Macaca fascicularis: one gene and its partner. The protein of the gene in region 2 binds, or shares a complex with, the protein of the main gene of each other region. Links are inferred from orthologs where the notes say so. Each region holds a gene or a part of one and is shown on either strand. Other genes may lie near its edges. The genes, in order: POLR2G and GTF2E2.

The links.
Region 1: GTF2E2 (region 2) and POLR2G share a complex: the UniProt entries of both Homo sapiens proteins name them as parts of the TBP-based Pol II pre-initiation complex. The link is inferred for Macaca fascicularis from reciprocal best matches to the Homo sapiens genes GTF2E2 and POLR2G.

Annotation. Positions count from the first base shown.
Region 1 is NC_088388.1:11,292,093-11,296,006, forward strand, and holds the start of POLR2G (DNA-directed RNA polymerase II subunit RPB7), read right to left. Parts: upstream 2,543-3,914; 5' UTR 2,458-2,542; coding exon 2,189-2,457; intron 900-2,188; coding exon 740-899; intron 1-739. UniProt on the Homo sapiens protein: Core component of RNA polymerase II (Pol II), a DNA-dependent RNA polymerase which synthesizes mRNA precursors and many functional non-coding RNAs using the four ribonucleoside triphosphates as substrates.
Region 2 is NC_088382.1:33,818,853-33,822,666, reverse strand, and holds part of GTF2E2 (transcription initiation factor IIE subunit beta), read left to right. Parts: intron 1-2,760; coding exon 2,761-2,868; intron 2,869-3,814. UniProt on the Homo sapiens protein: Recruits TFIIH to the initiation complex and stimulates the RNA polymerase II C-terminal domain kinase and DNA-dependent ATPase activities of TFIIH. Both TFIIH and TFIIE are required for promoter clearance by RNA polymerase.

The DNA of each region.
Region 1 (3,914 bases), on a different chromosome or scaffold from region 2:
AAATTAGCTGAGCGTGGTGGCGCATGCCTATAGTCCCAGCTACCTGGGAGGCTGAGGCAGGAGAATCACTTGAACCCAGAGGCGGAGGTTGTAGTGAGCCAAGATTGTGCCACTGCACTCCAGTCTGGCGACAGAGCTAAACTCCATCTTAAAAAAAAAAAAAAAAGGAAAGCACCCACCTTTTAGTCATTGTGAGTCTCTGCACTTCACCTGGCCCACAGTCACTACTCAATCAACACAGGCTTTTATTGTTATGACTATTAATGTTGACTCTTGCCCTCTGAGTTGGGCAGGGAAGATTACCATACAATTTGAAAGTGCAGCACAAGAAGTAAAGTGATGGCTAGGCGTGGTAGCTCACACCTGTAATCCTAGCGCTTTGGGAGGCCGAGGAAGGCAGATTGAGCTCAGGAGTTCGAGATCAGCCTGGGCAACATGGCAAAACCCTATCTCTACTAAAAAAATACAAAAACTTAGCCGGCAATGGTGGCACCTGCCTTTAGTCCCAACTACTTGGGAGGCCGAGGCAAGAGACTCACTGGAACCCAGAAGGCAGAGGTTTCAGTGAGCCAAGATGGCACCACTGCACTCCAGCCTGGGCGACAGAGCAACACTCCGTCTCAAAAAAAAAAAAAGAAGTAAAGTGACTTAGCTGAAGGCACAGTTATGAAGTGGAGCCAGGACCCAACCCAGATCTACTGAGAGACTACCCCAATGCCTCCCCTACGTATGGTCTCACCTTGTTGACCTGAGTTACAACAGCATCCACGACCTCCCCTTTAAAGGGCCGGAAAACAATGGCCTTGTACTTAACTGGATAAAGGACAAAGCCTCGGCCTGGCTGGATCACACCAGCACCAATATTGTCAATGGTGGTGACAGCAATTACAAAGCCATACCTGCAAGGAGGATGAGAAACAGAAAGACATTGTGTGTCCAAGAGCCTCTAGAGACATCTGCAATAAAAGTCACTGAGCTCTTGGGAGTAGTGTCGGGGAGAGCAAAAGGACAAGTAGATAGCACCTCTGCTCCCAGAGAGCTTAATGACCAAGAGAAGACAGAACACAGATCAGTATGGGCTGGGCGCGGTGGCTCAAGCCTGTAATCCCAGCACTTTGGGAGGCCGAGACGGGCGGATCACGACGTCAGGAGATCGAGACCATCCTGGCTAACCCGGTGAAACCCCGTCTCTACTAAAAAATACAAAAAACTAGCCAGGCGAGGTGGCAGGCGCCTGTAGTCCCAGCTACTCGGGAAGCTGAGGCAGGAGAATGGCCTGAACCCGGGAGGCGGAGCTTGCGGTGAGCTGAGATCAGGCCACTGCACTCCAGCCTGGGCCACAGAGCGAGACTCCGTCTCAAAAAAAAAAAAAAAAAAAAAAGAACACAGATCAGTATGTATAAGACCAAATGCTGTTCTGGTAATTTCACAGTAAATGTACAAGAAGGCTGGAGTCCTTGAGGAAACAGATCTCAATCTTCGGGATGCCTGAGAATCATCTTCTTAAAATGCAGATTCTCAGGTCTGCCTCACAGAGTCTTGATTCTGTAGGGAATAAGGAGGCTCAGGAATCTGCATGTTCCTGCAGGTTTTTCTGATGCTGGAGGCCCAAGTACTCCACTGCCCTGGGCTGGGTCCCAGCTCATTAATATCACAGAAGGCCCTCAGTGCAAAGCCCAGAGATGGTCAAGTCCCAGTCTACTTCCTTCCTCCCCCAAACTTTCGATCCACTTTTTCTGGTCATCCATTCAGAAGATATATAGAGGCCCACGGTGTGTGGTCCCTGGACACAGGGGATAAGAGAAAACCAGCAGAATGACAGAGTGAGAGGAGACACAGGAACAATGACTACACTGTGAGCTCCACAAGAGCTGGCCTCATTCTATCTTGTTCCCATTCTACCTTGTTCTGAGCCCAACACGGGTCCTGGCACACACCAAGTGTTTTTAAAATGTCTGAGGAGTAAATGAATGAATGACCAATCTCAGCTGAGGGAAGGAAGTCTTATTGTCCAGCATTGCAGAGGGCGCCCTGGGAACCCAAAGCAGGAAGCAACTGGCTGCCTGAGAGGGTGAGCGGGGTCCCTAGAGTGGGTGGCAGGACTAAATAGGAGTTGCGGAGGGTTTGCAGGTATAGCGACCCGTGTGCGCATCGAACGATCTGGCGGCACGGTGAGCTCGGCACTCACTTCCCTGTGCAGGTCCCCTCCACTTCGGTGAAGAGCTTCTGCTTCACCGTGTTGAGCAAGTTGGGGCCGAAGTAGCGCGGGTGCAGCAGGATTTCGTGCTCTAGGGAGATCTGCGGAGAAAAGAGGGATGGCGACCAGGCCACGCGCTGGGAGCTTATCAGACGACAAGGGGAGCCTCGCGCCGGCGCCTGGCCTTGCTCCTCCTTTCCACCCAGCCCTTGCCGCCACCCTGGGCCCTGCTCACATGGTAGAACATCTTCCCAGAGCATGAAGGCAGGAACAGTCCACACCTCCGACCGCCCCTGGGAATCTACCGGAAACACACTTAGCCGCCGCAACCCCAGTTCCGCGCCTGCTGCGTCGTTGAGAGCGGAACTCCACCTCCTCAGCGAGGGCGGAACTCCACCTGCTCCACGGGTCTGATTGGGCCTTGTAGCCGTGGGCGTGAACCACTAAGCCCCGCCCCTCACCACCGCCCCGCCCCCCCACCGGCCATCAAACCACAACTCTCTTTTTTTTGTTTTGAGACGGATCTGGCTCCGTCTCCCAGGCTGGAGTGCAGTGGCGCGATCTCGGCTCACTGCAAGCTCCGCCTCCCGGGTTCGGGCCATTCTCCTGCCTCAGCCTCCCCAGTAGTTGGGACTACAGGCGCCCACCACCGCGCCCGGCTAATTTTTTGTATTTTTAGTAGTGACGGGGTTTCACCGGGTTAGCCAGGCTGGTCTTGATATCCTGACCTTGTGATCCGCCCTCCTCAGCCTCCCAAAGTGCTGGAATTACAGGCGTGAGTCACAGCGCCCGGCCAATTTTGTGTTTTTAGTAGAGATGGGGTTTCTCCATGTTGGTCAGGCTAGTCTCAAACTCCCAACCTTAGGTGATCCACCCACCTCGGCCTCCAAAAGTGCTGGAATTACAGGCGTGAGCCACTGTGCCCGGCCAGCAACTCTCTGAATTGCTTGAACCTGGGAGGCCACTGCACTCCAGCCTGGGCAACAAAAGCGAAACTCCATCACAAAAAATAATAATAAATAATAGCTACCACTTACTGCTTTCTTCCTAAATGCCAGACACTGTGTTAAGCCCTTTATATAATTATCTCCCTTAATTCTCATAATAATCTACAGAAATTGGTGTAGAAATAACAAAAAATTTACATGAGCCTTAGTCGAAAGGCCAGGAAACTACAGAAAATAATGAAATTTAGGCTGAGCGCAGTGGTTTACGCCTGTAATCCCAGCACTTTGGAAGGCGGAGGCGGGCAGATCATGGGGTCAGGAGATTGAGACCATCCTTGCTAACACGGCGAAACCTCGACTCTACTAAAAATACAAAAAATTAGCCGGGCGTGGTGGCATGTGCCTGTAGTCCCAGCTACTCAGGAGGCTGAGGCAGGAAAATCGCTTGAACCCGGGGGGCGGAGGCTGCGGTGAGCTGAGATCGCGCCACTGCACTCCAGCCTGGCAACAGAGCAACACTAAGAAAGAACGAAAGAAAGAGAGAGAGAGAAAGAAAAAATTTAAAAGCTATTGCAATCCCAAAAAATATTTTAAGCCTCGAGAGAGATATGACTGTGAGTCACATATAGTTTACAACTTCTGTTCTCAGATTATAGATTAATTCACTTTCTTTTTTTTGAGAGGGAGTCTCGCTGTGTCACCCAGGCTGGAGTGCAGGAAATCCATGACTATTTCATCCTCTGTTAAAAAAATGTTACATACCCCCGGCA
Region 2 (3,814 bases):
CCTGAAGCCCAGTGAGGTTCAGTAACCTGCTCAATGTGAGGGAACTTGGAGCCTGGGTGTTTTTTTTTTTTCTTTTGAAGAATTATTTTTGTTTTGGATAAATGACATATCTTTTTGTACAAGAAGTAAAGTATAATAAGGTATACTGAAGGAGTCTTGTTCTCACCTGTCTTGCCACTCATTTTCTCCCCTCTTGTGCTTCCTACAGGTAACCTCTTTTATTTGTTTCTTGTGACTTTTTCAGTGGTTCTTTATGCAGAAACAAAGTTCAAATGTATACTTATTTCTGCCCTTCCCTGTATACAAGGTTTCATAGTGTGTATATTTTTTAACATACATATTTTTTTCTTATTTAAAAATACTTTATTTTTTAGAGGAGTTTTAGGTTCACAGCAAAATTGAGTGGAAAATACAGAATTCTCATCCATTCCCCTCCCATCCCCCTGCCCCCCATGGCTTCCTCCACTATCAGCATCCTGCACCAGAAGAGTACATTTGTGACAGTTGATGAACCTATGCTGGCAAATGACCACTCTAAGTTCATAGTTTACATGAGTTCATTCACTCTTAGTGGTGTTCTTTCTGTGGGTTTGGACAAATGTGTAATGGCCTATGTCCACCACTATAGTTCTCAGGGCTCTGCTTGTTCATCCTTCTCTCCCCTGCAACCCTTGGCAGCCACTAAACTTTTTTTAATTTTTAAATTTTTATTTATTTATTTATTTATTTTTGAGACAGAGTCTTGCTCTGTTGCCAGGCTGGAATGCAGTGGCTTGATCTTGGCTCACTGCAACCTCCGCCTCCCGGGTTTAAGTGGTTCCCCTGCGTCAGTCTCCTGAGTAGCTGAGACTACAGGCACGTGCCACCATGTCCAGCTAATTTTTTGTATTTTAGTAGAGATGAGGTTTCACCATGTTGGCCAGGATGGTCTCAATCTCCTGACCTTGTGATCCTCCCATGTCGGCCTCCCAAAGTGCTGGACTACAGGTGTGAGCCACTGCATCTGGCCTGCAGCCACTGAACTTTTTATTGTCTCCGTGGTTTTTGTCTTTTCCAGAATGTCAGTAGTTGGAGCCATACAGTATGTAGCCTTTTCAGATTGGCTTCTTTCCCTTAGTAATACGTATTTAAGGTTTCTCCATATTTTTTTCATAGCTTGATAGCTCATTTCGTTTTAGCTCTGGATAGTATTCCATTGTCTGGATATACCACAGTTTATTTACCCACTCAGCTACTGAAGGACATCTTGGTTGCTTCCAGCTTTTGGCAATTATGGATAAAGCTGTAATAAGCATCCTTAGTGGATTTTTGTATGTACATAATTTTTTGGCTCATTTGGGTAAATACCAAGGATCATGATTGCTAGATTCATCAAATGGTAAGAGTGTATTTAGTGTTGTAAGAAACTGCTGAACTGTCTTCCACAGTGGCTGTGCCATTTTGCACACTCTTCCTGTTCCTTTGCATCTGCTCTAGCTTTTGGTATCTACGTGTGTGTGTGTGTGTGTGTGTGTGTGTGTGTGTGTGTTCATTGGATAGGCATGATACATATGTGTTTTAACTTATTACTTTGTCCTGGACATCTTTTCAAATTAGCACATAGAGAAATTTTACATTTACTTTGTGAACATCAGTATAGTGGAATGGATGTGCTGTGGTTAATCTATCTTCTGATTATGGACACTTGGGTTATTTCTAATATTTTCTTTTTATAAACAATGCTACAGTGACCATAAGTCACTTTTCTTTTCTTTTTTTTTCTTTTTTTTTTAAATTTGAGTTGGAGTCTTGCTCTGTCACCCGGGCTGGAGTGCAGTGGCGTGATCTCAGCTCACTGCAAGCTCCACCTCCCGAGTTCATGCCATTCTCCTGCCTCAGCTTCCCGAGTAGCTGGGACTACAGGCACCCACCACCATGCCTGGCTAATTTTTTATATTTTTAGTAGAGATGGGGTTTCACTGTGTTAGCCAGGACGGTCTTGATCTCATGACATCGTGATCCGCCTGCCTTGGCCTCTCAAAGTGCTGGGATTACAGGTGTGAGCCACTGCGCCCGGCCCGTAAGTCATTTTTCTATGTGGTACTGGTATTTCTGTAGGATAAGTTTCTAGAAATAGGATTGTTTGGTGAAAGTTGAGTATCTTTTCCTATGTTTAAGGTCATTTTTGTAATCTGCACGTTTCTGTCTTTGGGTCATTTTCTGTTTTTTTTTTTTTTTTTTTTTTGAGATCTTGCTCTGTCTCCCAGATCTCAGCTTTCTGCAGCCTCCTTCTCCCAGGTTCAAGCGATTCTCCTGTCTCAGCCTCCCAAGTAGCTGGGATTACAAGCATGCACCACCATGCACGGCTGATTTTTTTATTTTTAGTAGACATGGGGTTTCACCATGTTGGTCAGGCTGGTCTCGAACGCCTGACGTGAAGTGATCCCACCTGCCTCAGCCCCACAAAGTGCTGGGATTACAGCCGTGAGCCACCATGCCTGGCCTATTTGTTAGGTTTTTGAAGCTCTTGAAATATTAGGAAGAATTAGCTCTTGGTGATATGAGTTGCATATATTTTTTGTCAGTTTATCTTTTTATTTTATAGAGCAATGAGTTTCAACTCCGTTCTGATTTCATAGTCTGTGGCTCTTCGTCACTATAATTATACTACCTGGAATAATACATGTTTTTCATTCCTGAAGATTTATGTACACGTAACTATGATTTAATGCATCTAGCATTTTAAAACTGTCTTCTAATAACAGTTTCTTCACTTGATAGACACGGCATCAGCGAGGAGATACGCATCCTCTAACCTTAGATGAAATTTTGGATGAAACACAACATTTAGATATTGGACTCAAGCAGAAACAATGGCTAATGACTGAGGTGAGAATTTAGTTGATTATCAAGAGAGATTTCCTGTAACTAGAATTTTTTTTTTTTTTTTAGGCAGTCTTGCCTAAAAAAAGAGTCTTGCTCGGGCTGGAGTGCAGTGGCGTGATCTCAGCTCACTACTGACTTGGCCTACCGAGTAGTTGGGATTGCAGGCATGCGCCACAATGCCAGGCTAATTTTTGTGTTTTTAGTAGCGATGGGGTTTCACCATGTTGGCCAGGCTGATGTTGAACTCCTGACCTCAAGTGATCGGCCCACCTTGACTTCCCAGAGTGCTGGGGTTATAGGCGTGAGCCACCGCACCTTGCCTAGAATGTTTTAATATGGTGAAATCTGATAATGCTTTTTACTTTTTCTTAAAAGAAATGTTGTAGGGTCTTTGTTTTTTGAATGTACACATTTGTAAGATTGATTTGTTGGTTTTCACTTAATTTTATGTATCTATTTCAAAATGTTAAAGGTAAGACTTCTGTGTAAAGGTTGTAAAGAAGTCATTGTACCAGTTCCACTTATGTTTTTACAGATTAATTAATGCTTATTTTGTATTGCCAGATTTATAATTTGTATGCTTGTAAATTGAATTGTTTTTGTTTTAGAAAATTTAAAGCATAAGATACTGCAGGGATAGGAAGATATTTTGTTGCATAATTACTGCTCTTATGGCTTGATGTGGAAAAAAGTCGTGAATGCTGTGTATGAACACACACCATTTGAAGAAACCCCAGCACAGTCAGTGACCATGCTAATTTGGAAATAAATAGCATTTAAAAATTCAGATGTTCACTGCTTTTGAATTTAAATGCGAAGTGAAAACTAAGAAGACTACTTTCTAGGACCAGAGAGAGATTCTAGAATCCAAATGTAAAATTCCTAACATATAATTCATTTATTTTTTTACCACGCAAAATATAGGTCTTGACTTTTATAATGTAGCATG